Linked DNA regions of Alligator mississippiensis. The protein of the gene in region 2 purifies or fractionates together with the protein of the main gene of each other region. This does not show direct contact. Links are inferred from orthologs where the notes say so. Each region holds a gene or a part of one and is shown on either strand. Other genes may lie near its edges.

Region 1 (10,467 bases), on a different chromosome or scaffold from region 2:
CACTGAACCAACAAGTCTGTGATCTCTTATGGGCGGGGGGCTGGAGGTCTTGGTCTCCTTGTCTCTCGCCCAGTGAAGAGGATATGGCTGGGAACATGGGGAAGCTCTCTTAATTGTTGATGCAATCCAGAGGGTTTGCCATGCACCAGGACTCTGGCTTGCGCTTTCCCTTCTCGCTTTGTACGTGCATAGGAAGCTCTTGTAATTGCAGCCCTGGATCTCAGAGCAGACTTGGTCTCCCACTCAACCAAGCAGAGCCCACATATGTTCCTAAATGTTTGCCCTTGTGACTGTTGGGGGGGTGGGATCCTGGGCAGTTCCAGAGTCCAGACCCCCTCTGTTCCATTTGTCTGTCTCAGTGTTAGTGTCAAAAGGAATCTTAGCTTAAGGGCTTCATCTCTGTATAAGCCATGTAACAAAAGGACACAATGGAACAAATGGTCCCACGTCTAGGGAAACCTTGATTCTGTCAGAGGGAGCATGTCCTCATCGACCTGGGAGGGATAGGTTTATTTTGTATATGAATGATTTTTAATGAATGCAATATTAATCCTTGCAGATGAGCAATAAATCATTAAAGTCTAATTAAAAACGATTAGAAAAACGACATCTCTTGCGCGGGAAACTTCTTTTAAAGACATAGCCTGGCACCTTCTCATCAGCAGGTCAGCTGTTGCCATTTTGGGCATGGGAACAGAGCTGTTGTTTGCCCCTTTTAATCAGGACCTGCTCAGACAAACACATGGTGGCGCACACTTCATCCTCAGCAGCTTAACAGTGGGTGGTGGGGAGAGGGGCGTACAAAAGTAGCCGTTGCCGCAGTGGAGGTTGATCATGCCAACAGTGTGCGACTGCTCTAGGTATAGAGTTGCACTGCTATCCCTCTGTTCATCCTCCTGATGAGGTGGTCAGACCTTTAATTGATGGGCTGTGTAACCTGGTAGGCTTCTTATGGATACAAAGCAATGACCTGGAGACACAAGTCTTTCTTCTGCATTTACTAGATTCATTCAGACACTGGAATCCTTCTGTACAGCCCCCTGACAAGGGCTCTGCTACTGAGCTGTGTTATACTGGCGTAGGATACCGATGCATCAGGCTCCTGTTATGACCAGCAAATTCTGAAGCAAATTGCTAAAGGAATCTGCTCTCTATCTGCCTGTTGATACAGATGTCACCTAGTGTTTGTGTTTGTTTAACTAGTGTCCCTTCAAGGTCCCTTTACAAGCCTGCTGATGTTCAACACAGTCCTGTGGATGAAGTTTTAGAGCGGCAGTTCCCAACCTTTTTAGACAGTGGACCGGGAAACTGTGGGCCAGTATACTGCAGTCTGGAAGTGACGGGCATACTGCAGACCGGCAGCCAACCCTTTTTTATATACTCAGTATAAAAAAGGGTTGGCTGCCAGTCTGCGGTATGCCCATCACTTCTGGTCCAGCAGCCAAGCCTTCGTGGACATGGCCCCGGGGATGGGATCCTCTGTTTTGGAGGATGGAAACTGTTTGTCAATAAAACACTTGATGACCACCTACTCTGATTTTTTTTTTCCCCCTTCAGTCCTTGCTGCTCCCTGGAGGTGCAGTGCAGATATATTTGATGACAAGGTGCTTAGCCCCACATGGGGGCTCCCTGAAGAAATCAGGTTTAAAATTGAACACCCTTCCTCTTAGGCCTAGGATGTCTAAAATGGTTCAAATTCCAATGTAACCAGTTTGCCAGCCTCATTACTACTGACTTAGCATGTCCAGGGCTAGCGTCTGCCAGGGGTTCACTGAGTGGGGAAATCCAGAGATGTGGATCCTATTTGTGGCTTCAATTTCTTCACGTAAATGCTAGTGCTGATCTTTGGGTGAAGCACCGATGCCTCTGAGTGAAAAGCACCAGGGAAGCAAGAAGATGAAACTTAACCAGACTTGGACGGAAGTTCCTTCCCTTAGTTATTTTTTTACATTTTTCTTTATCACTGAGCTCTGCTGAGGTGCATGACTGCAGTTTGAAGTCAGCTGAGCAACCCTTATAGAGCTTTGTTGCAGACAAGCGCCGGCGCCATGTTTCCCTGCCATCTGCCCGCTCTATTTTGCGTTTCCGGGGTTGGTAACAAAATCCTGCTCAGTCAGTAGTGTGGGGAGGAGGAACTTTGCCAGTGCCGACATGCCTACTTCTCTGAGCAAAGCTGCTTGGGGCCACCGTGGCCTTTTGGAGCCTGTGTACTGGGAGCTGTTAGGACTCCAGGGTCTCTTATTAGCTTGGTTGCTGGTATTTTAATAACCACTTTATAGCAAGAGAATGGGAACACCTTAAGCCACTTTTAAAACAGGGCAGTGGGCATAGACCCTCGGAGGTAGCCTCACTTGAGCTTGGACCCTCATAATGAAGCTAAACAGGAGCTGGTCACATTTGAGCAACCTCCTACCGCCCATCTGCTCTAGAGCCTGCTGTGAGCTGCCTGCCACCTTATGCAAAAGCTGCTTGCATGGATGAGCGTGCATGCCCTGAGCAAGCAATGCAAAGACGGGCGTGTTGCCATTTCTGCCCCCGGCACCCCCAGGACTTCCACCTGTCGGCTTGCAGCTTACAAGGCTACCCGGCTCCAAGCAGGCATTGTGGCACTTGCCGTACTACCAGGCCAAACCCTGGTGCTGTCCCATCCCCTTCTTTTCAGAGCCCGGCTGAAAACACCAAACGGGTGACTGGGCTCTTCCCATGAAGCTGCACGTAGCCCATGCTCCAGAGAGCCAAGCAAATAGCAGAGACCACTGCTGCTGCCGGACTCGGGATAGGTTTGTGCTTTTTTTGGAAAATTTTTCATGTCCCAAGTCAAATTGGCCAAATCCATTCCGAATTTGTGAGTCTTTCAAGAACCAGATGTGGCCCTGCTACCGGCAAGCATCCTCCACCCCACATGGGGCTTCAGAGGTTTGCGATGTCTTTGGTGGGCATCCTACGTGCAGGCCCAAGCCCAGAGGCTTGGGGTTCGGATGCCCCCGAGTTTTGCTTGCCCTCGGCCATATGGCCGCAAGAGCAAGCTAGGGAGGAGTCCCCTATTTCCATAAAGTTGGCGTGTATCTGAGATCTTCCCACTGGAAGTGAAAGTGGGAGGCCAGTGGGAAAGCCACTTCATAGTCATGGTGTTTCCCCTGCTGAGACAGGTCCTTAATGCTACCAGAGCCCCTCGCGAATACAAGAATACAGACCTGTTGGTTCAGAAATGATACCTTTTATTAGCCCAACTAAGAAACCGCAAAAAAAATTCTCTTTTTTCTGCAAGTGTTCGGGCTCAAAGGCCTGTCCCCATCTTGAATTTGCCCAGAGCCTGATGAGATGTTTGCATTTCTTTTTGTCTCAGACCATTACGACTACCAAATACGTTCCTGAACCATTAATACAGGGGCTTTTTTTTTCCCCCTGGTGGAAGCAATTGCAGGGGCTAGAGGTACCCTGGGGAAGCTGTTTGGAGGCTTTGGCACTAGCTGGGGCCTGGGGACAAAAGGGGTGCTTTCCTCTGCCACTTGTTTCCTGTTCAGCCTTGGGTGTATCACTTCCTCCACTTGTGCCTCGTTTTCCCCGGCGTTAATGACGGTGCTTTGGCAGCTGGGACCAGGCCATGACGCCTTCAGGCCTCAACTGGGCTCCGGGATGAGTTTAAATCGCTTTCTGTGCTCTAGCTTGAGATGGCCACACCTAATATGGCCGCCCGGGCGGGGAAGAAGCTCCTTGATGGCCACACCCAGCATGGCCGCGCAGGGCGGGGCCCATCAGCGGCGGTCACATCCAGCATGGCCGCTGGGGGGGCGGAGCTATGTTCCATTGGTAGCCACACCCGGCATGGTGGCGGGGGGCGGGGCTTGGCGAGGCATCGAGCATGGCGGCGGCTCCTCGGCTCTTCCTGCAGTTCTCGCGAGAGCAGCCGGTGAGAGCTCGCGAGATGTGGGCTCGGAGTGGGGGGCGGGGGTGAGGCGGTGCCAAGATGGAGCCTGGCGGCTTCGTGGGGCCGGGGCCGCTGGCGGCCAACAACAAGCCGCGCAGCGGCCCGGCACCGGCACCGGGGCCGGGGCCGGGGCCTGGTCCGGGTCCAGGCCCAGGTCCAGGTCCAGGCCCAGGCCCAGCGCAGGGCCCGGGCCTGGCAGGCGGGAAGGGCCGCGAGTTCAACCGCAACCAGCGCAAGGACTCGGAGGTCAGCGGAGGGGTTGGGGTCGGGGCTAGACGGGCATGGAGGGGGTTGTGCCCCCACGTCTCGCGTGTGTTGACACCCCCTACGGTGCCCGTCCCTGTGGCAGGCAGGGGGTTGGTCGGGTGGGGCCCCGATGGGTGGTGCAGGGGGCCCGGCCGGGGCTGGACGCCATGTCCCCTCCCAGCCCCGCAGGCAGGTCGTTTCCGAGTCGCATCTGCTGTGCTGCTTGGGACACGGATCACCGTCTTTCAAAGAAGAAAATGCCGCCTCCTTCCCAGGAGCTGATGGAGACGGAGGAGCTCCCAGCGGGGGTGGGGGGGGGGGTTGTGACGGGTCACAAAGGCTCTCAAAGCCGGAGGCTTGCCTTAGGGCCGGCCGAAGAGCCTCTTCTCAGGAGATTAAGGCTGTGTCTTGAGGAAGTCCCGAGGAAGAGCTTTCTCTTTCCCCTTGGAAAGGCGCGGGATGATCCTTTCTTCTTGTGACAGGTGGTTTAAAGCAACTCCGGCGTCTCGCTGGCTTGTTATTCTCCCCCCCTGCACTCGGGCACTTTCCCCGTGTTCTTGGACTTCTTGTTTTTGTCTGTTTCTTACTTGGCGTGGAGGGCCCTCCTGCACGTGACATCCCAGCGATGCATTTCTGCAGGGGTTCGTGCTGTCCGACATCAATGCGGTCTCTGAGGCCCCTGTGGTCAAGACCTTTAATGCTAGGATTAAACGAGAGGTTCTGTCTGTTTTACACAGTGATTTTCACTTGAGGAGATCCCCACCCCCCAAGTTGTCTTGAGGCCAGTTGTGTGTAGAGATCACGTATGGCTGCGCGCAGCAGCGCAGAGCAAGGTTACACAAGAGAGCGATCAGTATTACATCAGCCCAGAAGACGGGGGATACACAGCAGGTTGCCTCAGAAACATTTAAGATCTGCTGATAAATGCCGGGTGTTCGGCTGAAGATGCAGCATGAGCCTGCAGCAGGGGGTTAACTTTTATTGTTCTGACTGATTTACTGATGCTTTTTAATGAAACGTGCTTTGTTTAAAAGTGAATTTTCCTTCTGTCACCAGGGCTATTCCGAATCCCCAGACTTGGAGTTTGAATATGCAGATACCGATAAATGGGCTGCGGAGTTATCTGGTAAGGGAATTTAATCCCTCTTGATCTCTAAAGAAAAGTTGTATTTTGCTATGCACTCATCTTTAGCTGCATCTTGGTGTTGTGTATAGTAAAGCTAATGCTATTTTGAACCATAGTTTTTGCCATATGCTGTGTTTTATTTGTCTTGAGTCGGACAACAGAAACTGTTGGTTCCGTTTGAGTGCGTCTTTTTCTTTCTTTTTAATTGGGTTTTTGGTTGTCATCCTAACAGTTGCTTTGCTGTTTGGATTACAAGTACTTCTAGGCAAAAATATCTTATCTCTTAATTTAAAGACATCTTTAGTTTGGCAATAATAGTTTTAACCATCAAAAGTTTTCATGTTAAATTTCACTTGCATAATGCCCTGGGTTTTTTTATTGTATTAAACTCTTGATTATGTGAAATGTGAGTGATGGGGACCTTAAAAAAAAAAATTAAAAAAAAAAAAAAGAAAAGAAAAAAACACATCTGATTGTCAGGAGCTTTAGGATTGAGTTCTGTTCTGTGCCTGTTTGTTACGTGACTACCATAGGCAGTCTTTGAGAAGTACTTTTTGGGGGGGATGCTGAAAGAAAAGTGACAACAACCAGACACGGTTTATGGTATGTTGGCAGAACTGTACAGCTACACTGAAGGCCCAGAATTCCAGCTGAACCGAAAGTGCTTTGAGGAAGACTTTAGGGTCCATGGTAAGATAAGTTTATTCTTCCCTTCTTGTCCCCTGTTCATAGGTTTTAGGGTCACCTGTAGAACATTCATGAGGAGATGCAAGTACTGATGTGTTATCCCTGTGTCAGGGCAGGAACTGACTACAAACATCCCTTACTTGGTTTACAACTTATAGTATTTGCTGGCAAATATTGTCTCTATCCAAGGGACACCTTGCTAATGTACCTCACCGATGAGCACATTGTTTCTGGCTCATTCAGTAATTTATCTCTCTAAATGTGGTGGACAGTTAGTGCCAATTGTGGCTGTGGAAGGCACTATGAACAATCAACTTATTTTACCTATGCCTTTTGGTCTCAAACTGGGATACTTGTATCTCATAGGGCATGTGGCAAACTCCTAGAGGGCATGTGAAGGGAGGAATGGGCAAGCAGAGAAAGGAAAAGGGAAATATAAATAGGGAAAAAGGAAGAACAATTCTGCAGTTTCTCTTAAGTTGTTGGATAGCTGATGTTAAGGGCAGCAGTAATGACCTAGTATTAACTTTTATTATCCATGCTATGGTACAAGACCCAGACAGTTTGGGAAGCCTGACCTACTGTTGACCAGCTATTAGACTCTACTGATTTCTGGTTGTAGCTGATGTGTATTTCAAAGGATAAGTCTCATTAATCTGATCTTGCAGTAGCTGGCATTAGTGAGTCTCCTCAGTGTGACCTCTAGCAGATCAGATATGTTTATATTCTGTTCCAGGGTTGTGATGAACATCTTGCCCAGATTGACAGTCTATCTTAATGTCAGTACTGGATACCCTGAATTTTTGGCCATGTAATCTGCATCTTTACATAGGAAGAAGAGCTGCAACTGGTCCATGGTGTTGTGGCTTTTAGGGAGGTATAGAAATAGCTAGTCCTTCCATTTCACCAAAGTGATCGTTCTTGGTTTTTCAGTGCATGATAAAAAATGGACCGAGCTGGACAACAATCAGCACCGGACTCATGCCATGCGGCTCCTCGATGGGCTGGAGGTCACTGCCAGGGAGAAAAGGCTCAAGGTAGCCCGGGCCATCCTCTATGTTGCACAAGGTAGGGGACCATGTCAGCTAAGGGGATTTGACCCTCCTGAAATCACCCCGGCCCTTGCTTTTTCTGTGCTGAATCTGTAAGGGGTGTTAGTTTAAAAAACAAAGAGAGAGATTTGAAATCAGTTTCCTTTGTGTCCCTGCAGCTGTCTCAAGCTGCTTCAAAATGTTATTTCTGTAGTGCCACCGCCCTTAGGGGGTCTCTTCGCACCTGTTGCCCAACTGGTCCTGGCATGGGGCCGGCCAGTATGCCAGGCTCCTGGGCTACAAGTTCTAGAATGCTTAAAGGGGTTCTTGTAGCATTGGAACCGGGCACCCCAGGGTGCTGGGCTCCTGGTCTGCAAGTGTTCCAGGATGTTTAAAGGGCCAGGGAGCAGGCTGGGAGAGCAGAGAGCACCAGTTTTCCCACCTGGGCAGCCCATGCTGATAGCAGCCTTGTTCCTGTCTCTGCTCTGCAGCAATGGGATAGGGCAGCCTGCAAGTCTACCTGACAGATCACTCTGTGGTTTGTCTGCTAGCCAGCTGTCTGCTAGTCTGGTAGCTTTGGAGTGGGGGGAAGGAGAACAGAGCACTGTGGGACAGTGGGGGGGTCTATCTACCTGGCCAGATGTTAAATTTGTGTTGGCATTAAGTTCCTATTTAAACAGCAACTTCTTTGTCACAGATTAGCCACCTCTTTGCTGGGACAAATTCCATTGACGTCTGGCATGGTGTCATTTCTCGTGGGAAACTTGACCATTTCCTGTGACGTGTATGGCCTGGAGGAGACCTGAAATACCCTTCTTCCCTTCCCCTTCTTCCTGCCTCTTTACTAGTGTGTGTCGCTCAGTTTCCAGCAGTGAAACAGACAGACCATTCTCATCTCGAGTCCTAGCTGGGTTTGCATTTTGGGGCTGGGTTCCGAGGCCCAGGACACACAAGTGTTTGGAGCAAAGATGGTTTTGAGTGTCAGAGCTGTGCTTCTCAGAAGTGCTTCTGATAACATATTATTTAAGCTGTCTTTGGGCTCTCTGTTCTGCCTATACTGGCATCTGAGGAGGTTCCAGTGTAAGTTAGAGCTGTCTGGGGCCTTGCAGCAGCCTTCCTACCGCTGCCAGTAGAACACTCCATAGCACAGTGTGTGGTGCTAAATGCTCCAGCCACTCATATCAAGCCTGCTGTCTGTGCTGTGGGAAGCCTGGGGCTATGGAGAGAGGCCTTTCACAGATGCTGCACCCTCTGAATTTTCCCCTCTAGCTTCTGTGCCCTGTTTTTACAGTTGCCATCCCTGGGCCAGGGCTCAGGCAGGACACTGGTCTCTTTCTTGTGTGCTAACAAAATTCCAGGGCGACCTGTTAATTCTATCTTGGTGGTTCTCAGCCTTTTTGGACCCTTGGGTAGACTTGAGGTGCCCCTCAGAAAATGCCAGCTCTTACTTTTCACTCTTCTTGCTTATGGAAAAATAATAGTGTAGTTTTTTGGTTGCAGAGAACTTGGAAGGCTCAGAGCTGTGGATTTCTATTTGAAATCTCTGGGTTTATCTTATGACAGTGCTAATATTGTATGGTGCCTTGCACCACCCTTGACAGTACCACCCTTTCCTTGCACCACCCTTGACAGTACCCCAAGGTGCTATAACACCCTGGTTGAGAATCACTGCTCTAACTGAGTAAGTTGCAATTGGAATGATTTTATTCAACCCTGGAAAAAAATTCTGGTACAAGGTTTGATGGAATCAACCATTCCCATTAGTTGGACCAACCATGGGAGGCAAGTGACCTGCGTTTTGTCCATCTCTTTCACTAACACTAATGCAGCTCCACATCATCCAGAGGACAGACCCTTCCCCTGCCTGTAAATGTGCATCTGATGCCCCCAGGTGCTGCCAGGCTCACTATCTGTCAGTGAATCGGTAATCATGTTTTTCTAGGCACCTTTGGAGAGTGTGGCTCTGAAGCAGAGGTTCAGGCCTGGATGCGATACAATGTTTTCTTGCTGCTGGAAGTTGGTACCTTCAATGCTCTGGTGGAGCTTCTGAACATGGAAATTGAGTGAGTGCCATAGAGTTGAGGGGATGGGAGGAGGATGGAAAGCTGTGCCAGTAACAAGTTGATAACTGGATTGTGAACTGCTGTACCTGGATATCTTTCCAGCTTGTGAAAGGTACTCAGTTGTAAGCAGTTCTCTGCTGCCAACTGAGGTCCTGTGACATTGCTGGGCAGTCTCCTGTTAACTTCTGTGGGTTGGTTTGGGCCTCATGTCCAAAACTATGTATGACAGGCAAAAGCCTTTTCATATTGCCCTACCAATATGCTCCAAACTTGTTGTGGAAATACCAGCTCTCACTGTCCACTAGGTCCATTTGCTCCCTAATCCTCGTCCCGTGGACAAATGTGCTGTGTTTTTGTACTGCAGAGGTCTTAGTTTGTAGGACAAGCAGTTTTTACTAGCTGACAAGCAGTTGTCAAGGAAGTGGCAGCTGGGCTTGTTTCAGCTGGTGACTTGCAGTAGAAAATCTATCATATTTCCAGTCTCTTGAGACAAGCTTCCTGGCCATTGCAAAGCAGCTGGTCTCTTTTAATAACAAAGGGCATACTTGAGAAGTCATCTCCTGTGTTCTCACTTGATCACTCCCCTGCTGTGGGTAGAAAGATAGGAGATGTGCATGGAGCCAGACAGTTTTGGAGAATGTGATTCCTATTGGGAGTCCATCTGTGTAATCTGAGAGCGAGGCTGTCACCTCTCACTATCTGTCATGAGCAGATGCTTGGCTCGCTGTTAATGGGAACGCAGGGTGAAAAATCCATTGAGGAGAGGGCGCTTTATTTTTGGTGTCTCTCTTCATAGTGGAGAGCTTAACACTTGAGTGAAGGGTGGCATGACTAGATCTGAGAGCCAGTAACTCTTAAATGGTAATCACAGCTCTGACATCCTTGAAAGCTTGGGCAAGTCACTGAGTTTTTTTTTATCTGAGAAATGGGTTGAAGTACTGAGGTGATGGGGAAGGATCAGTGAGATGTTTGAGAAATCATCAGTTTCCCTGAGGAGAATGGAACTCCATCTAGATACCCCTAGTTTTGGCAAGCATGAAGGGTTCTGCGTTTGTTCCAGGTGTTGCATTATCCATTTGGAGGCTTCCAGTATTGCATTGCATCCCAGCCAGAGCAGCTGGCTCCTGTGTGTCAGTTGGTTACTTCTGCTGGTGTTAAAACTTCCCAGCTGTTTCTTTATAGGGAGAGGGAGATGCAAGCAACCTGATCTGAGCTGCTGATTCTGTTTCCTTCTTTAGCAACAGTGCAGCATGCAGCAGTGCAGTGAGGAAGCCTGCCATCTCCCTGGCTGATAGCACAGACTTGAGGTAAGAAGCCTTGTGAATAACCTTCTTAAGCTAATAAGGGATTGAACACTGGACATCAGGAGCTAAGCAAAAGGCCTTT
Region 2 (10,467 bases):
ATACTTGGCTTCTAAAAAAAAAAATCTGATAAGGACATAATATGAGTAAACATAGGAATAAGTACATTCAAGTTATTAGTGGCTAGTCTGTTTTCACATGTTAAATTATTCCAATCCAACTTTGCTTCATAAACTTCGTTGATTGTTGAAATATACATTTTAAAGATCAAAAGTAGTCCCACTGAAGTCAAAAAAGTATCCAAATACGTAGGCTTGGCAGGATTGAGTTTTTAATCAGTAAATGCTGATATATGTCACTTTCACATCATACTCTCAGACTACCAAAAAAAATTTCCATCATTAGTAATCAAAACTGACAGAAAGAGCACGTAAGAAAAATGATGGCTGATGGAGTATGTGTTGACAGAGGGAGCAGTTCAACAAAATCGTGCTAATTGTAGTTTAGACTGCAACTCCTAGAAACCCCAGGGGACTGGGAACAAAGGAAGAGGAAGTGACAAAGCACAAGAGGGAGCTACGGACTAGTGGAGCTGGGACCGATGACAGCTTAGCCACTCAGCTGATGAGTCCTACAGTAGTTGTGCTTGTCATTAAGAGTTTATCCCCCCCACACCTCATATCACACAATCCTAAGAATTTAAATTGATAAAAATCTAAATAAATACTTAAATAAACATTAATCTATCAAAATTATTTAAAAAATAAAAATTGAATTCTACCAAGCCTATGAATATGTAGTTTTATGCTGTGTACACACACACTTGAATTGTCTTGCGGTATCCAGTAATAGCCAAACATAAGCGATGTGAGACTTGACAAGAAAGCTGTGAAATAAATTTATTTGCAAGATTGACTACTCTGTTCAAGTGACTAATTTAAAATTAGTGAAATTAAAAAAGTTTTAAGTAAAAGCCAATGTACATATACATGCACGTCTTGCATTTCTATTTTATCTTTTCATAACATTCATTCTTTATAATACACACATAATTTTGGTCAGCTACAATGGCCATCTCCAATCCACTGAGTTTCAAACTTGCCTGTTTCAGCATACCAGAAAGCCTTATGGACTAGTCCAAAGCCCATTGAAGCAAGTGCTAAGCTCCCTTTTGATTTTACGGGTCTCCGAATCAGGCCCTAAATGGTCTGAAGTTAAATTAGAAACTGAACACCTACCAAAATTAAAGCAGGAAGTCTTAAGAGAAATGTGATCCATCACCTACACAAACAGGTGCACATGAACAGAGTGTTCACTGCCTCTAAATCCAACATGAAAGTATTAAAATGTTTGTTGCATCTACGTAATGGAGCTTCTCTCTACTATTCTAGGTCACACTTGTAAATTTCTTTACTCCATGGAGAATGCAAAACAAAAGCAGTTAAGGGCCATTTTATAAAACACCTTTTAGCCATATCATGAGAAAAAAAACCTCCATAGAACATAACAAATATTACTAGTTACCAATATGATTTCTTTACTTTTCTCAGTTTTTTTGTTTTGGAGTTGTTGTTTTTTTACATTCTAAATTAATCACTGCATTAAAAAAAACCAACAACACAGAAACTAGTTATTTGGACAAATCAATTCACTTTAGAAAAAGAGATCTATGCTGAAAGGGAAAATTCTCATTCAAGCCACGATCAGGAGTCAGAGAAAACAACAACAACAACAAACAAACAAGAAAAAAGTGCCAACTTGATAAAAGGAGAAATTCAAGTATTTGGCTTCACTGGACTTTAAAATGCAGGAAAAATACAAAAACTACGTGCTGGAATGTTATTACTGGCAGTGAAATGCCTAAAATGTGAACTATGTCTAGGACTGTAATTAAAAATTGTTTTTAAAAAGTGCAACAAATTGAATTTCACTGTTATCAAAGTGACAACTATCTGCTACTTAATTTTTTACCAAGCTATGCTATTTGACAGCTAAAGCAGTCAGCTCATCACAAGCTATGTAACAAACATCAGTGCCAGAAATACATTAATTTTGCTACTTTTCTCCCAAATCATTTATAATGCTAATTAGCAGTCTTGCTTTCAAGATTATTTTTTTTTTTTTTTTTTAATTACAACTAAATCGCTTTCTTTCCCTCGCCACCCAATACTGACTTATTTACTGGTCTCCAAACACTACACTTTTAGCTCTATTTTACTACAGGATTGTGGCCTACTAGTCATCTAATTAGGATGAGGTCTATCTGCTCACAAGCAATTGGTCTGTTCAAGGCTCCTGTGTTTTACAACGTTAGAACACATGAGATTATTAACAGAATTTCTGAGATGAGGGGGAACAGATCCAAGGGCAGTTTAACTACCATGTTAACTTCAATGTATGATGATGCAGCACAAAAAGAGTTTAGCATGCAGTTCTATGTGTGAAGTAACAAAAATGGATAACTTACTTTAGCCCTATGTAAGAAATATGGGAGAACAAAAGCTATGTGAAGCTGGAAATAGAACTTAAACATGGGCTGATTAATACTTTAGTTAGCCTGACACCGTATCAAATACTAATTAAAATTCATGTGAATTTTAAAACACACAAATTATGTTACTGGAATTCATTAATATAAATAAAAAGCCAGGCTTCCAGAGATTCAATATTTTAACACGTTTCCTTTGTTAGGCTAATGGACAGACATATGCAAACAAATTAGTTTCTAGAGAGTATGTATTAAAGCTGGCCATGATTTTTTCTTCTGATAAGAACTGTAAGATTACGCACTAGATGCTACAAGGGTCACAACAGCTTTTAACATGTAGGCCATTTTGCCACCTCCATAGTTGTGGGTCAGTCATTTACTAACCCACCACTCCAAAGCCTGCTATGCAAAGATAACAAAGCTAATTAAAAAAACCCACCTCAGCAAGCACAACTATTTTATATGTTCTTTAAACAACAGGGATAATTAGAAGTGATGCTTGTACATTGAGGTTGTGTAAGCTCTTCCATAACGCACTGTTGTATAGGAGTTCCAACCCTCCACAGTACAAGTTTCCCCTTGCTTATGATGTCCATGTGTTCCTGGAAAATGGTGCATAACTCAAATCCACGTAAAGGGAACAAACAGGAATATGTTCCAAGACCTTGACTGTACTGATCCCCAGACCCATTTCTACCACTTTTACAAGACAATGTTGGTACTCCCCAACAGCAGACAGTACACACAAGCACAGTGCACTATCATAATGGGGATGGCAACTACAGAAATGCACATCGCAGACGAGCAAGGAGCACAGATGCACACAGGAGACTATTTTAATGCACGTCACTTCCACAATGCACCGCACAAAGTAGCTGATTGTGGGTTTCCACCACACCAATCGCATATAATGAATTTTTGATATAAAAAGGGTCACTGCGTAAGAGTGAATTTGCACATACCAAACCCACGTAAAGCAAGGGAAACCTGTACAGGTCTCCCTCGCTTTACACAGGTTCTGTACATGCAAATTCACTCTTACACAGTGACCCTTTTTATACCAAAAATTCATTATATGCAAGGTAAATTCACTATTATGCAATCGGTGCGGTGGAAGCCCAGTCAGCCACTTTATGCGGTGCACTGTGGGAGCAATGCGCACCAAAATATAGTTCCCCGTGTGAACCTGTGCTCCTCGCTCGTCGTCTAGGACACGTTTCTATAGTTGCCATCCCCATTATGGCTTCTATGCATTCGGCTAGCTTATCTCCTACCCCTCTCTGCTGTTGATGAGTACCAAAATTGTCTTGTAAAAGTGGTAGAAGTGGCTCTGGGGGTCAGTACAGTCGAAGCCTTGGAACGTGTCCCTATTTGTTCCCTTTATGAGAATTCAAGTTATGTGCAGTTTTCCAGGAACACATGCGCAGCATAAAGCGAGGGAAACCTGTACTAGCTAAAACGTGAAGACACGGTCTTGACCCAAAAGTATTTTTGATCAATTAAAGTCCACTGTGACCCATGCTCTATAATCAGTATAAAAGCAAGGGTTTTAAATACCTCCCCTCATTAAATTTTAAATCACAACCCGCCATCCAAACACCGGGACGAGGGCCATCAAGCAGATGCCATGACAAGAGCACGCTTAGCGAATCCTTTGCTCCAAAAGCCTGATTGACGCAGTGGCTAAAGCTGCTAAAATCCTAGGAAATGCAACAGAAGCAGAAAAGTTACTCCGGGGCCGTCACGGGGACAGCTCTATCCTGCACCGAAAAACGTGAAATTCGTTCTTCACGTGCAACTGCAGACTGCACATCGCTACAAGCCTCTGGCTTCGCTCTCGGGCCTCCCTCTCCCAGACCCCAGGAGCGGCACAAAGCCATTCCCAGCACAACCGCTCCTGACTAGCTAAAGTCGAAACATCCCAGACCCCAACGGATGAATCCCCCTCCCCCCCTTAACTGCGCGGGCGACCTACGATGGGGGTGGGGGAGGAGCTGGGGGTCTCGTGCATGAGTTAGGGAAGTAAATTTGCTGCGGCCGATCCGACCCCCCTCGGGGCCCGCGGGATAAGCACTCGGGGCAGGCAGGGAAGCGCTCGTGTCCGCAACCTCCCGCACACCTGGGGGGGGGGAAAGTGTTGGCGGGGGTGGGGGAGGGGGCTGCCGGGCCCCGAGAAGCCTCCCCGGGCCCTGAGCGCGGCCGCGGCTCAACGACGCACCCCCACCGAGCTCCAGCGTCGAGCCCCAACCCGCGAGCGGAAGAGGGGTGCCTTACCTCGCTGCCCGGATCCGTCCCTGCAGCCGTCCGCCCGCCAGCCCGCCCGCCCGCGCCCCGTCCCCACCCCGCTCAGGACATGGTGCGTCCCAGCCGGGCTGCGCTGTCTCGGGCGCGGGCGCTCCCACTCGGCGGCGCCGGGGGGTCGGGCCGTGTCCCGCCGCCTCCCCGCTCCTCTAATGGCGGCGGCTGAAGCGAGCCAAAGCAAAATAAACCCCCATTCGACAGCCAGCTCGTACGTCAGCGCTGCCTGGCGCCTGGCCTCGCGCTCATTGGCCCGCAGCGCCGCGGCGCCCCGGCCAATGGGAAAGCGCCTCTTTGGGGCAGAACGGGTGATGTCATCCCCCGCTTCGCATTGTGAGGGGGCTCCGACCCCTCCCCCCGGAAGCTCCGCCCCCTCCCAGAGAGCCACAGCCCCCCTGCCCTCAGGATCCCAACCCGCCAAGGAGCCGGATCACCCCCAACAGAAGCCAGAGTGGATCCCCCCAGGGTGGCAGGTGGCAACGTGAGCTGTTTGCCAGGAAACTTTGGGCATCCCTTCCTGCTGCTGGCTGAAGATTGAGTGTAGGGGGGGGCCCAAACTGTGGGCTGCTTACCCCTGGGGGGACACAAGCCACCTCTGCGGCAGGGGCGCGTGGGAGACGCTGTGTGACAGCAGGTTTAATGTTCATTCTAGTCATAATTGGTGTTGAAGGAGTTAAAATATAAAGTGTATGCTGGGAGAGGTGCGTGGCCGCCTGGTAAATCTGGAAGGGGAGGGACGCAATAAAAAAAAAAAAAGTTTGGGCTGGTAACGCTGGTCCTCAGAGGAGCTGACCCCTCGATGAAGTAGGTTCTGCAGCTACCCCCGTATAAAATTGAGAGCTCAGTTCTCACGTAAGGTCCATTTGGTTGGATGTTATACATCTGGGTTGGGATCTACACAGGCCTCGCTTCCGGGACCGCCATCAACCACCTCACGGTCAACGAGAATGAACTGTATTTGTTATTGATTGTAAGACCAAAGGTATCAGATGAGCGATACAAAACTTCCTAAAGGGTGCTTTTGAAGAGGATCCTTTCAAAGGACACATAGTGCTGTAACTACCCCGCTGCAAGGTGCCACTGCGAAGGCTGTGGTGCATCTAACCCCAGCCAGCTCTCCGATAGTATTTTTTGTGTAATACAAACACAGGTACTGTAGTGCGTCTCCGAGTACTAGCATCTGCAGACTCCAGCCTTTAGTAGAATCCCCTTAATGCACATTTCAAGAGAAATGTTTTAAAAGCACTTTCAAAAAAATATTTATCTTCTCAGCGTTTTGACTTCAACTGTTGCATTAAGCAAACCAGCAGTTCATTGGCAACACGTAAGGGGTGCACCCAGGTGCTCGTGCCCCCCCTACAAAAAGGTGCCACCGAGTGTCAGCGGTGCCTGCAGGCAGTCGCCGCTCACCACCCGGCTCCTCGCCACTAACAGCTCCAGTGGCATCTGCAGGAGCTCCCTACTTTCCACCACTGCGCTCCCACCACTGCGCCTCGCCAGCTGCCACAGGGCACGCGTCATTCATGCAGCAGTTCCTAACTCAGGCCCATGGATGATGATCAGAGATATACAACATTGGCTGTGCTAAGGGACTCCTCACGTGTAGTAGCTGTGGTATTATTTTAATTCCTCTCCAAGAGGGCACTTTAGTGGCCTATGAACTCCATCAGTCAAAATTCAGTTCTTTTAGCATGGTGTCCTTGGGGGGGGGCCTTTATGCTGTCTTCCTGTAATCTTCAGACTCACCTTTTGCCTCCTGCTTGCAGGCCACTAGCCTGAATTCTCCAACTGCTGCTGGACCCGGCTCCCTGACACCAAGGGGTTATTCTAGACTTCTCACTCGTAGTTCTTAGGCTGCTCAATATCTAATTTTGCATCTATAACCAGAGGCTGCTACCTTTGGCCTCCTGCTTCCCTCTATGTTTTAGCTTCCTTCTGAATGTTACTATTTCTTCCCAATTTAAGTTGTATGGAACCTTCTATTAGCTAGCAGTCTGACCAAGCCTTCTGCCATCTCAATTTTTGTTTGCATTTTTTTGGTCTAACAGACATCTACTGAATTCAACCAGGGGCAGTGTTTGTCTTTGGAGTGCCCCAGGGAAAGTGTCAGTATTGGGCCTTGTTCTTCCAAGAGAAGAACTCTACTTTGGACAAGGCAAATGTTATTACCCACAAGAGACCAAAATGAAAGTATGTCTTCATTTACAAGAAAATAGGTTTGATACAAACAATACTGAACAGGGGGAAAAAAGAATGACTTTGCCCTGTTAGCCTGGTCCTACATTCTCTGTCTCCACTGAGCAAGTGATGTCCCAAATCATGCTTTGGCAAGAATGCCCAGAGTTAAATATAATTAACTACACACACAAAAAAATTGGGACAGCCATATTTTTTTATTGCACAGCCAAATATTAGATCCAAATCATAGAAAATTTGGGTTGGAAGGGACCTTGGGACATCATTTAGTCCAACCTGCTCAAAGCAAGACCATCCCCAACTAGATCATCCCAGCCAAGGCTTGGTCTAGCCAGGTCTTAAAAACCTCCAAGGATGGAGACTCCACAGCTTCTCTGGGTAACCTGTTCAAGTGCTTTACTACTCTGTGAGAAAATTCTTCCTAATATCTACCCTAAACTTCCCTTGCTGCAACGTGAGACCATTGCTCCTTGTTCTGTCATCTGCCACCACCGAGAACAGTGTAGCTCAGGGGCAGGCAATTATTTCCAGCAGAGGGCCGCTTACCCAGTTTTGGCAAGCTGTCAAGGGCCGCATGGGTAGCCCCGCCCCTTGACAGGTGCCCCGCCCCCTGGTCACCATCTTGGGACCAATGTCCCAGGGCCAGCGGCAATGGGGTCCAAAATGGGGCACAGGCTGGCAGCGGTCTGTGGAGCCAAGCTGAGCTGCACCAGCAGGGAGAGTGGGGAGCTGACCCAGCTCCATAGAGCCCCTGCCAGCCGGGACCCCTGCACTCCTGCCGCCCTGCTCTGGGCCCTGCTGCCCCTGGCCCCAGGACACTGGTGTGGGCCCCATGTTCCCACTGGCTCCCACACCCACTCATTCCCAGTGCCCCCCCAGCCCCACAGTACAAGCGGGAGGCAGCATGCACCCCTGACCCCCTGCTCGCTGGCAGGGGACAAGATGGTGCTGAGCACGGGGAAAAGCGGCCCCTCCCCCACCCTGTGGCTGGTGTCCCACGCTGCAGCCACTCGCAGCCCGTGCAAGGCTGCCTGTGCCTGCTAAGGACAGCCCTGCGTGGCCTGCGAGCAGCTGCAGCAGGGAGTGCTGGCCACGAGGGTGGGGGAAGGGCAATTTTTCCCGCGTACTCAGCACCAGCTCGTCCCCTGCACTTCCCACCCCCCCCTTCCTACCTGAGCTTCCCATGCTGGAGGAGCCACATGGTCCCAGACCAAAAGCCCCTGCTGGGGCTCCTGGCTGGGGGGCAGGGCCGGCCGGGCACTGCTGTTGCAGGAGCCCGCCGGGGCTTCCTCTGGGTCCTACTGCCCCTGGCTCCTGTCATTTTTGACAGGAACCAAGGACAGATAAATATTAATTTTCTACATTTTTAGGGGCCTTGCAGGCCAGATAGAATGGCTTAGCTGGCCAGATCCAGCCCATGGGCCATATTTTGCCCACCCCTGGTCTAGCTCCATCCTCTTTGAAACCACCCTTCAGGCAGTTAAAGGTTATTGTTAAATATCCCCCAGTCTCCTCTTCTTCAACCTAAATAAGCCCAGTTCCCTCAGCCTTTCCTCATAAGTCATGTGCCTCAGCCCCATCACCATTTTTGTTGCCCTCCACTGGACTCTCTCCAGTTTATCCACATCCTTTCTTTAGTGTGGCCTCCAGATGTGGTCTCACCAGGGCTGAATAGAAGGGAATAAATCACTTTGCTTGATCTCCTGGCAACACTCTTACTAATGCAGCCCACTATGCCGTTAGCCTTCTTCGCAACAAGGGCACACAGTTGACTCATAGACATAGTCAGCTTATTGTCCACTGCAACCCCAGGTCTTTTTCTAAAGAGCTGCTGCTTAGCCAGTCAATCACCAACCTGCACCGGTACATGGGATTGTTCTATCCTAAGTCCAGGACTTTGCACTTGTCCTTGTTGAACTTTAGGAGATTTCTTTTGGTCCAATCCTCCAGTTTGGCTAGGGGTCTCTGAATCCTAGCCCTACCCTCCAGCATATCTACTACTCCCCACCCAGCTTGGTGGGAAATGGATTTGGACAAGCTATCTTTAAGAAACAGTGACATTGTTAGAGGACACCTATTTTCTTCATATTATATTGTCTCTAATAAGAGATAATTCAGAAAACGAACCTTGGTTTTAGGAGATAATTAAGCAGTTATCTTTTTTTTTTTTTTTAATAAAAAGGCAAATGCTGTCGTAAATATTAAGAACTGTTTTAATAGTGAAATACAGAAAATATCCAGAAATAACTGTTAGAGATGAGACAGGCTAGAAATATTAAATTTACATTAAAACAAAAGATAATTATAGTTATGGGTTAGTTAGCTTCCAGGGTATTTTCTAAATTTCTCAGGAAACAGATAACTTTCTAGTAAAATGTAATACAGTGAGCTACATCAGCAAAACTGTGGTATAAATCCTGGAAAGGACTGTAAAAGCTAGATTAAAATATACTAAATTTTTTTTTTTTTCACAGAGGAAAGAGGATAATGTAAGTAAACAAAATTTAAAAAAAACTATTATTAAAATAACTTTAGAAACAGATAATTATTCTGTTTGTAAAAATAGTTTTACTGTTACCGTGCAAAATGGAAAGTCCATATCATAAAATATTTGTAAATACAAAGTAACAGAAATGAAGAAGTTTCTCATTAAAATATTTATTGAAATCATTCATTATCAACAATATTACTATCACAAGAGAATACTGGCTGTATTTTAAGGACTCCAGGACCATTTTTCTTTTATGACCTCTAGTTGTTGGCAATGCTGTCCCCTCTCTTTGGCTTCATCTCAAAAGCTGCTGGCATCTCCCAGGTTTACCTTACAGATCAGTAGCACTGAATTTTCCCATTTGTTCTCGAGTTTTAAAATATAGCTGGGAGCAATTTTCAACTGTTTAGAGCAGGAATGTTTGCACAGTGGGTTATATCTGACAGGACGTAAAGTTCTAAATTGGGAGAGGAATCAAAACCTGTGACTTAGCCACATATTATTGGCAGTAGCTTTTATATCCGATTTAATAAAAATAGGTTTATCCTATTCAACTTTTAAAAGAATGCAGCATAAATAAAATGCAGAATAGGAGATACATATATGCCATCCAAAATGTTTGCTTTATTGTAACACTTCAAAAACAGATTTCAACTTCCCAACAATTCATTTGGAACACACATACTAGAACAGGAACTACTCATAGGGCACATCCAGATGAGCGCGGACGTGCGGTACATGGCAGACCGCAGACCCACAGGCTCCCAGGGTCAAAAAAAGAGCAGGGCAGCACACATGGTGGCAGTGCACGCTGCCCAAAACCAGAGCCTGGCAAACCAGACCCACGCTCTGGCTACCGGTCGGGCATCCTGCCATGGCTTCAGCCCTAGAAGGCTCTCAGGACTCCAAGTAAGGCTGCTGGGACCAGCACAGTTGCTGGCCCCAGCCTCCCTTACCCCCTCCCGCCCAGGGAAATCTGCTGTGCCCCAGAGCAAGTGTGGCACGGGCATTCCCCAGGGACAAGTAGCAACACAAGGTATGCCACTGCTATTTGTCCCCAGGAAAACAAACATCCACATTTGTCTGGACACGCCC
Region 3 (10,467 bases), on a different chromosome or scaffold from region 2:
CTTGGCCTCTCCCAATTTTGCTGTACAGCAGGAAAACATGCTTTTAAATGTTTACCAAGACATTTTCCTAAAGGGTCAAAAAAAGGCTATGTCTACATTACAAATGGGGCAATCGGATGCCATTTTAAAGATCAGTCACTGAAAAATGTTTGGTAACAGATGTGTCCAATGCTAATCCCTAGTTAGGCAAGACAATTTCTTTCAAAATATTACTAAAAATCAACTATAGAAATACTATCAAGAATTAGATTTATCATGCTTTCCTCATGTGGCTAAGTTAGCCAATGAGTTACCCAGTTTGCAACAGATTTCAGTAACTCTTTTCAAGACAATCAGTGCTCTAAAGCAGGCCCCTGAAGGAACAAAGTAAATTGAAAATCTACCCTATTAAAAAGTTAAATAAAAGTAAACTCCCAAGATTAAATTTCCACCTACTTCAGAAGCCATACAATTTGTGCAATTTACAAACATATTATTCTACTTATATTTTCCCCGCTCTCATGTCTCCGTGAGGCAAACAGTTAAAAAAACCAAAAAAAAAACAAAACCAAAAAACCCCCCCAAAACAAGCCATATAATGAAACCAACCAGCCAATGCCTTCCACTACATAAGACAGTGGTTTTCAAACTTCTTAAAGTCACAGAACCCTTTCATATCACTTCTACCATGGAAGCCTTATCTGTGGAGCCAAGAGAGCTGGCCCAGCAATGGTGGTACCCACTCCACCATTACCCTCAATCTCTTTGTGGACTCCTTTATGACTTCCTGTGGAACCACGGTTCTGTGGAACAGTCTCAAAACCACTGGCAAATGGTAAAACTGAAAATGGTAAGTGGTTCCCATTTTACCCAAATTATGATGGGTAAAAAAAAAAAAACATAAATAAAAGCAACAGTATAACCTTACAAGTGCTTACTATATAAGCTTTTACAAAACAGCATCTAACATGTAAAGGGACCAAAGTCTTTTGTAATCAGTATTCAGCTTTTACTAAGATAATACATTTGCATTATCAAATGCAGAAAAAAAATGTTTACAAACACTTTATGTTTAACAAGTTCCTATTCAGCCCTCATCTTTAAGCATACAATGGGAATGGAGCCACAGACTTGGAAAGCAAAAGAACAATGGGGCAATGGCACCTGGATCTGGAGGAGCTCAGGGGCCAAAGGTTAAGCCCTCGCAGTCCACAGACATCCCACAGGCTGCCAGTTGGACAGCCCTGCTGTCAGAAGTTCTTTAATTGTGTACTCAAACCCTGATCAACAGAGACAAGTTAAGAACTCAGTAAATCAGTTTTTCACAGCCTAAGAGCACAAGCACCAGACAAATCCAAGCAAACAAACAGGAAAGGACCAGAGAGTTCATCTCATCACAAATATCCACCCATAATGATATTTATAAATTCTATGCTCTCCATGCCAAGGAGCACCAAATCTAATTTCTAAAGCAATGTATAATATACATTGCTATTACAATAGCAATTTCTAATTCCCAGTTACTATTGCATCTAAACTCCAGAGAAGTTGCAAATCATTACAAACATTTCTAGCAGAAGGGACATGCACTACAACTGGTCAAATACACATGACTAAAAAAAACAATAACACTCTAGCAACAGTGTGTATGTATGTATCCACAGTCCTTAGTTTAACTGTGATGGCAAAATTCAGTAGACAATAATCATACCAACCTTTGGTTTGCTGGAGTAAGGGAAAAAAAGGAAACATAAGGCCAGAAGGAAAGAGAAAAAAAAAAAAAAAAAAAAGAGAGAGACCAAAAAGGTTGAGAAAGCAGAACAGAAAGTCAAAAACCTTGCCACAACATGACACATTAGACTAGAGTAGGCCAAATCCAGTCAGCCAAGGGGTTTCATCTGGCCTGCAGCAAGTTCCTCAGTGCCACCTGGCCCAGCACATGCAGCCAGTCCCACCACCCCCAAGCCTGGAGCGCGGCTGCAGCAGCACAGCAGCCAGACTTACTTCCCAGCAGTCCTGGCGGCTACGGCTCTTTCCACGTGCTGCCACCCAACCTAACCCTACTACCCAGGCACCATGGCCACTCTGCCCCACATGCACTAGTGGGGGCTGGGACCCATGTTGGCGGGGCATGTGGCCAGGCAGATGGGATGGGGCTGTAGATGGGTGTGGAGCAGCATAAAGGAGCAGGACAGGCAGGTAAGGCCACGATCTTGGGGCAGTGATAGCGCAGTCAAGGCCCAGTGCAGTCACGATCCACTACCTGCATGGCCCTGTGATGGGCACTGATTCTGTGGGCCCACAGTGTCACTGCCCCAAGATCCTGCCCTGGCCCCACCCATCCATCCCACTCCCAGATGGGGCCCCCTGCTCACCTGGCCGTACACCCCACACTTGCGGGTCCCAGCCACTCTCCATGGAAACCACAGGGTCCCGGGGCAGTGACAGCATGGGGCTGGGGGCAGAGCCACAATCTGCTCCACACACGCTCTTACCTGTGTAACCAGTGTCTATCAAAGGGGCATGCGGGAGCGGATCATGGCTCTGCCCCAGGCCACAGCCCCACGGTCCCAGGCCTGGCCACACCTGCCCACCCCACTTCCTCACAGCCACACTCATCTGGACACGCCCACTAAGTTAAGTTTTAAAGGCTCAATTTTTACTTATTTTTTTCTTTTTTAAGATCAAAATGCCTACCTTCCAAAACCATTACTTGGCGTTTACAGAGAGTAATGTTATTACAATAAGTTGTTATAAGCCACAGATACTTAGGTAACAGTCCTAAGCGACAAAGCCAGTTATGTTAATTTTTTTGGCTTGCAAAGTTCAAAGCAAGTGCTACTACGTCTTAGAGCAAGGGAAAAAAACTTCAGTGATGCAGGCATTTTAATATAAATAAAAAAACCCTGAATTTTAGGGTTAAAAAAGTCAAAATAATTTAATTAAATAATTTAATTCCCTTTAACAAAAGAAAACAGGAACTTTTTATTTTTTTTTTTTTAACTTGCAAGAGGCCTTTTAGAAATGAATCAGCCAAGACGTGCCAGGATCAGCTACTCAATGTGTCACACTTCTTAGCATGACATGTTTATTTTGCAAAGGAAGTCATGATATTATGGTGGTATGGTCTGAACAAAGATGTAAAGGTTTTGTTCTGCATATTTTCAAGAGTGCAAAAGGTTCTAGTTTACCACGTCCAATTTTGTATAAACTTAATAAGGAGAAGTGGTTAAATAAAATTGACACAATCTACGCAATGGATAAAAAAGTCCCTACTCTTCCCAACACAAACAAAAGGAACCATACTTACGTTTCAAAACAACGATCCACGTTGTCTGACATCAGAAGCAGCATGCATAGCTGTTCCAGCGCTATTAATTGCATATCCCTTTCATCCCCTTGCCCCATTTGCAGCCATTCAAGCAACGTGTCTGGATCCACATCTGCCATGGTTTATAAAAGTTGATTTTTGCTTTAATTAAAAAGTATCCAAAAATAGCCTTTAAGTGTTCAAGCCAGAGTAAATCTAGTACAGTGAAATTTTCCCTTCAGTCAGACCCAGGGCTTTTGCAGTCTTCACCTAAAAAAAAGAAGCAACTCATAAGTATATACTCATCTCTTGCATTTGTGTCACTCAAGATTTTACAAGACATTAACCATGACCAGTTTTTTTTTTTAAATGACAAGAGTTAGTTAGTATGCTCTACTTTAGTGGAATCTTCTTCCCCAGAGACAATGATGAAAGCTTTAATCTATTACTATTTTTAGTAAAAACTAGAACTTGGAGGCAGGAGTGGAACGGCACTTCCTAACCTGTTATATCTTTGTAAGCTAGTTTCTCAGATAAGTATTATCTGAAGAATAACAATTATTTTACCTTCTCAAGCCAAAGTGTAATTTCCCAAGAGTTGAGCATTTCTGCACTCTCAGAAAGATCTTTCTATAAAAGAAAATGGATCTCTCTCTCTCTCGATTAGTACCCATTCAGAAAAGGCATGAAAGATAAATTTAGTGAGGCAGATGCTGGAAAGGGAATGTTTACTCAGCATTTCCAAATAGTTTAATTTTCTAAAATAACAAGTAAAAAAAGGGGAATATGATTTCTAAACAAAAGGACCAGAAGAGTAGAATGAAGATCTCAAAACATTTGCCTTTTAAATGACATGCTGAGGTGGTGTTTCAAATATACAGAAAATTGTATGTTCATAAGGAAAACTGTTTAGAGGCAGGAGCAGGCATACATGGCAAATGGTGCTATTTACCGATCCAATAAACACGCTGCATAACTGGCCAAGATCAAAAGTCCCTTTCTTAGTACCTTATTAGAGCCATGTCCTGTGTGCCTATCTATTATCCAATGTCCAATTAATCCAGTGATTCTCAGCTAGGGATCTGCGGCACCCTCCTGTGCCTTGAGACCCTTTCAAGGGTGCTGCAAGGTGCCATCCAACATCAGCACGGTTAGGATTACAAATGTGCTTTACAAGACAAACCCGGAGAGCTCACACAGAAACCCCTAGCTATGGTCTTCCCGACTTCTTTGCCACAGAAATGCTCTGCTCTTCTGCAATCAAGAGTCCAGGGAAAACAGCTGGGATGCCCTGCGCCTAAAAAACAAGAGCTCGAGAACCACTAAATCAAGTTGCATCAACTTTGTAAGCTGCGTCCTTCAGAGCCAGCCTCCCCCAGACACCGCAACTGCAACAAAGGCTTGAAACAGGCCCCCAGCGAAGGGGCGCCAGCTCCAAACCTCGTAATCAAATCAGGTAGGAAAAAACAAGACGAGCGCGGCCTGAAGGCCAGTACCGCCCCCTCCCCGGGATGAAAGGCCGAGACGCGGGGTCCGCTCGCGGGCGGCGCGCACGGCGGGGCCGAGCCACAAAGCCAGGCCCGGCCGGGCAAAGTCCGCCGCCCGCCGGGACCCGGTGCGGGGCTGGTGGCAGCTTCAGCCCAGGAGGGCGCAGGGGGCAGCCCTCTTGGAGCCCGCAGCCGTGACGCGGGGCCTCCTCCGCGCCGGGGCGGCCGGGCCCGGCTCCAGCCCGCGGGGATTCCCCGCCCCGGCGGCGGCGCTGGGCCCGGCTGAACACCTGCTGCCTTCCCCCCACGCCCGCGCTCCGGGCAGCCCCAGGCAGCCGCCCTCGCCCCGCACCAGGCCCGGCCCGGTCCGGCCCCGCTACGCCCCCTCCCCGCCCGCCCGCGTGCGGAAGGCCTCGGCCTGGCGGCGCCCACCGGCCGGGCCCGGCAGCGGCGCTCGAGTTGGCGGGAGGCCGCAGGCCGCGCGGGGGACCCGACTGGCGGCGGAGACGAGGCCCGTCCCCCGGCACTCACCCGCGCCTCGGGCGCTCCTAGGGCCGCAGGGAGGCCGCGAGGCGGCGGCGAGCGGCTGGCTTCCCTCGCGCTCCGCCCGGCGGGGCCTGCGGGAGGGGAGCGGCGCCGCTGCCACGGGGGGAGGAGCCCGCGCCGCCGGCCTCACAGTCACGCGCGGCCCCGGCCCCGCGCCGCGAACCGCCCCCCGGCGGCCTCGGCCCCCGCCCCGCGCCGCCCCGCGCGGCGCCGGCAAACCTGCCTCCCAACCCAGGACTGGGCTTTAGAACCGTGGGCAGCCAGTCCCGGCGCATCGCGGGGCCGCGCGCGTCTGCCTGCCCCTGGGGGCTGCGCCTATCCGCCCAGATACTGGGCGCAGATCCAGCAATAAATCCAGAGATCCGCACACATACGCGGTAACAGACTGATAGATACAGTCCAGTCTGTAACCACAGACAGATACACGTACATAGTGGTAGACAGACACAGACACAAACAGATACATGGATGTATGGATAGAACCCACTCCATAGTGACAGGCAGGCAGATACCCCTAACTACGGACCAGTCCGCACGCACACATCCCCAAAACAGCCTGCAGAGGTGACCACGGCTTCTCAGGCTTTTCTCTACAGCCGTGAGGAAAAGCTGCTTCCTTCCACCTTCACTCCTCCCGGGAGACATGACCACACAAAAGTTGAGAAGAGACTAGAGGGAGGGGAAATTTGCCAGGAGTTTAATTGTACCCTATTGACACTGAAGTTTTCAAATAGGGCAAGCAATGAAGAGGCATGGCAAAGTTTTTTTGGTGGCATTTTTTAGGTACAGTTGGCTGAACATTTCTGTACAACACATTTTCTACCAGCACATTCAGTTTCATCAATCTTTTTATTTTTTATTTTTTTTTAATCAGGCCTTGGCAAGTTTTTTCATTTAAAATGTAAAGAGATGTTTGATACCAGGTTTCATAGATTCGTAGATGTTAGGGGCTGGAAGGGACGTCACAAGATCATCGGACCCAGCCCCACTGCGCTTGGGCAGGAAAGACTGCTGGGACCCCAGCAAGGTGAGCATCCTATTTGAAATTTCTGGGTTTATTTTATGAATTGTGTAGGTGTTTGTACACCAAACAGTGCTAATATTGTGGGGCATCCTTAAAAGGTTCTCATGGCACCCAAGTTGAGAATTGCTAGTTTTGAGGTACCTGCATAGAGAATAGAAATTTGAAAAAAGAGGAGTCGCTGGGCTAGTGGATAATGGCTACAAACTGAAGCTAAACAAATTCAGACTTGGAATAAGAGTTGAAATTATAATTACTAAGGTTTGTAGTGGATTCTCCACTATACATTGTTAAAAAAAGAGTTTTAATATTTTTTATAAAATACGTGATCACGAAATAGAGAAAAATAGGGCTGAAGGGACTTCAGGAGGTCATCCAGTCCAACCAGTACTGAAGGCAGGATGATCCCCATCTAAACCTCTTCTGAAAATATTTGTCTATCCTGCATCTAAAAACTTTCTGTTGACGGAGAATTAGTTCAAACTAAAACTAAACAGCTAGGTCATATGGCTATTGTTGTGCAAGAGGTCAAACCAGAGGATCACAACAATCCCTTCAGGCTTTATAGTCTATTACCCTACACGTAGTTCATGCTGATATGATTTAAACAGTATTTATCTTGTCATCATGAGTAAGGCATAGCTATTTGAAAACCATTTTTCAAAGTACTAGCCCAGGCCGAACAGCACGTGATTTCTAAACATAGTTCAATCACATAATATTATTAATAGTTAAATAGCATTTATCCAGCCCTTTTCTTGTTTCAAACTGCTGTGCAGACATGAACTAATTAACATTCACAGCTCTCCTTGAAGGTATAATGAATTCTTTATGTACCATACAATAGTGTGGTAGGCCCAACACAAATGTAGAAAGATGTATCCTTGCCCCAGAGGCCTTCTAATCTAAGAACTTGTTTCTGTAAGCATTCATTCATGTATGCAACTTCATTCACAAGGGGTCCTATTTAAGCAGCTGAAAGATCAGGCATTACATGAATGATATGCTGACAAAAAATGGAAGAAGAAAAAGAATGTACCACAAGGTTTCCATGTTTATTTTCTTTGTGTGCATATGTATTTGTGTGTATTGCTATGGTTTAATTCTTTAATTCATCCCTATTTGCCCACTATTTAGCCTTTTTACTGAGTTTACTACCCTTAAGTTTAACTCAGGCTATTTGCCTTTTTGTTCATTTAATTACTTGGGACCCAATTCTGCAAACACCATCAACCATAGACCGTGTTGTATCAAGCTAACTTGATCCTTTACAGCTACCTTCAAACACAATAATATTTTCTTATATGGACACGCCTTTTTGTGACAAAGTCTGAGTACTATCACACCAGAGGCCTGATTTTGCCCATAATTTATAACCTCAGAATTTGTTGGTTATGTATATTATCATAGCAGTGTCTCTCAATAGTCTCTTTAGTACATACTGTAAATAGTTACACAATTGTCCCATATAATTCTAAAAACAAAGGAAGCAAAGTGCTCTGAAATTAGTGTTAAGGACCAAAAAGTCTTCACAATAATTTACTTTGTAGAATCACATGGAGTTTTGTTAGGAAACTTAGTCATGTGAGGCTTAATAATATAAATATTGTAAATAAGATTATAGCATGTTTGAATGTCATTACTGCCTACATCATAGACATTTCCTGTCATTAGGCGAAGAGGTGTATTCAGAGGACAAAAAGGCAGTGGCAGCAGTCATGCTGTCTCACACAGTTGGAACCTGTCATATGCCAGTGACTCCACATTATTCGTTCAGAAATCCTGCCTGTAGAAAGATTCTTGCTTATTCAAAGTCTGTCTCAAGAGGAGGAAAACAGGTTCATAGTCCTGTTTTTCCAATAACAAAGTTAGTTGAATCTGTGTGTCATATGTTGATAGTGTGTCACTGGGTCCAGCCCTGCAGAGATTTATGCATATGTGGAACCTTATGCTTATCCATTGTGGTCAAGGGATTTTTCACTTAACATAAAAGTAAGAATGTGCAGTCTTGGAGCTCTGCATGAGCAGTGAGCCATGAGCTCACTAGCCAATCAGGGCAGACTGGCTGAAGTGAAGGCTGCTACTGTTCACCCTTCCATCCCTCTTCCTCTGCTGAATTCAGCAGCTGGATAAAGGAGGGGACAAGGGGCTGTACTCACCTCATGGGCTCCAGCCGGACCCCACGGCAAGAGATCATGTGGCACAACGAAAGAGGGGGAGGTACATCTCACCACTGCATCCCCTCCGGATTTGAGCCCTGACTCAAATTTGTATCATAATAAGTATGAGAGAATCTTCCATTACATTACTTGCAGGAATTGACATCTCTCAAAATAATTGTTTTATATTGTCTCTGCTTATCACCAAAACATACTAACTATTCATCTTCAAAACTGACTGATTTTATAATACATTTAAGTTGAAGCAAAAGTGGCTAGTGGAGGGAAATAGAGATGGGTGATTAGTAAAAAATATTTACCTCAATTACATTTGCATACATATTTGCTTTAAGTGAATTTTCATATGAGCAAAGTTCTGCTAACATGAATATTCAAAAAGAAAATGTTGAGCCTATAGCTAAGATTTGTTTAATCATTAAACTAGTTTCAAACAGAAGTCATTTATAAAGTTTAATTCCTCTAAATAGGGAACATAATACCATGTGACAAGTGACAGAATTTGAATATGAAATCATGTGAAAGAACAATCACATTAGTTTTAGCTTGTAAAAGCTATTTAAACATTCATGAATAGTAAACAAATTGGTAAAAAATTATATCCTGCTCATGAATACCACATGAAGAGCTAAATTAATTGTTCACTGCACATGGTTCACCTAGTTAGTAAGTGCAGTGGGTACTAGGCCTATATTCTAATTCTGTGTGTGGCACTCACCTCTTTGTACGTTTGACCAAGTCCCTTACTCTCTGTATATCTCAATTTGTCATTTACAAAATAAGAGGAGTGTAGTAATAGCCATCTTAGAGGGCAGTTGTGAGACATACCTCTTGAGAGATATTGACTTGTTCAGGTAGAAGGTGCTATGTAAGTGCTCAGTATTATATTTGGAAATAAATCGCATTTAGCTGGAACAGTGATTCTCAACCAGGGTGCCATGGCACTCTGGGGTGCCTTGAGATCCTTTCAGGGGTTCTGCAGGGTGCTGCACAATGTTAGCACCATTACATGTACAAACATGATTCACAAAATAAACCCAGAGAGTACATTAACACATATAGGTACGTGTGCTTGCAGCAGTTTAAGTAGCAGTGGCACAAATTTCTGCCGAAGAATTGTGCCTCAGCACATGTGCCTGAACATGCACTTTGGTGTGGGGCAAATTGTGCCACTTGAGGCAAACTGACCCTGCTCAGGTCCTCCCAGATTTGCAGCCAGGGGGAGCTAAAGGCTAGACCCCAGCAGTATAAAATCCTGCCCTGGCAAACAGCTCAGGGCTACTTGTTCTCAGGAGTTTCTGAGGCCTGGCCACTTGGTATCTGGGGACACTAGCCCCTTGTGCCAGCTACACTGCTGAAGCAGCCCTAACCTAGAGTGGCCCCTGCACCCTCTACCCACTGCAGCGGTCTGGCCGTGGGGGCTGCTGCCTGTCTGTGACCTGCTGCCACATGTGACAGCATCTGCCCCCTTGGACTTGTGTCTCCATGGCTGCATGCCTGCCAGACCCAGACAGGGACCACATGGCTGCCTGGGCTGTAGTACAGGCACTGCAGAAGAGCCACCTGCACCTCTGGGCCAGCTGCCAGTGGGCTGTGGCTGCACAGTTGGCCTTCAGGCAGCACTGCTGTCATGTCTTCTGGTGTCTCCACTCTGCCACCTGAAGTCTTACCCTGCTCCTATTTGCTCTAGCATGCTGAGGCAGCATACTGGGGCAGCAGGGGCATGGGACAGCCACAGAGACACCCTGGTTAGGTGCCAGGGTGTCTCTTTGGAGGCCCCAGCCTCTGGTTGCTTCAGGGAATGCTCCAGGAGCATGCCCTGTGCCACTTTTTTCCAGTGTGTTATTTTTTGATACTGGGATTTCCTGGTATCAAATTTAGAGTTTGCACTAAAAAATATGCAGTGTGGGGAGCATTTTTTCATTCTTAGCGTGCCTCTTGCAACAT

What was found.
Region 1: the proteins of ZRANB1 (region 2) and STRIP1 purify together in Homo sapiens (affinity purification with mass spectrometry; 4 studies listed by BioGRID and IntAct, with this or other methods). This does not show direct contact. The link is inferred for Alligator mississippiensis from reciprocal best matches to the Homo sapiens genes ZRANB1 and STRIP1.
Region 3: the proteins of ZRANB1 (region 2) and HECTD1 purify together in Homo sapiens (affinity purification with mass spectrometry; 5 studies listed by BioGRID and IntAct, with this or other methods). This does not show direct contact. The link is inferred for Alligator mississippiensis from reciprocal best matches to the Homo sapiens genes ZRANB1 and HECTD1.

Annotation. Positions count from the first base shown.
Region 1 is NC_081837.1:34,617,921-34,628,387, forward strand, and holds the start of STRIP1 (striatin-interacting protein 1), read left to right. Parts: upstream 1-3,933; 5' UTR 3,934-3,967; coding exon 3,968-4,174; intron 4,175-5,230; coding exon 5,231-5,300; intron 5,301-5,915; coding exon 5,916-5,990; intron 5,991-6,920; coding exon 6,921-7,055; intron 7,056-8,960; coding exon 8,961-9,081; intron 9,082-10,319; coding exon 10,320-10,388; intron 10,389-10,467. UniProt on the Homo sapiens protein: Plays a role in the regulation of cell morphology and cytoskeletal organization. Required in the cortical actin filament dynamics and cell shape. Part of the striatin-interacting phosphatase and kinase (STRIPAK) complexes.
Region 2 is NC_081829.1:82,513,860-82,524,326, forward strand, and holds the start of ZRANB1 (ubiquitin thioesterase ZRANB1), read right to left. Parts: upstream 4,854-10,467; 5' UTR 4,662-4,853; intron 1-4,661. UniProt on the Homo sapiens protein: Ubiquitin thioesterase, which specifically hydrolyzes 'Lys-29'-linked and 'Lys-33'-linked diubiquitin. Also cleaves 'Lys-63'-linked chains, but with 40-fold less efficiency compared to 'Lys-29'-linked ones.
Region 3 is NC_081825.1:253,447,981-253,458,447, forward strand, and holds the start of HECTD1 (E3 ubiquitin-protein ligase HECTD1), read right to left. Parts: upstream 5,439-10,467; 5' UTR 5,308-5,438; intron 4,746-5,307; exon of another isoform or gene 4,555-4,745; intron 3,560-4,554; 5' UTR 3,430-3,559; coding exon 3,290-3,429; intron 1-3,289. UniProt on the Homo sapiens protein: E3 ubiquitin-protein ligase which accepts ubiquitin from an E2 ubiquitin-conjugating enzyme in the form of a thioester and then directly transfers the ubiquitin to targeted substrates.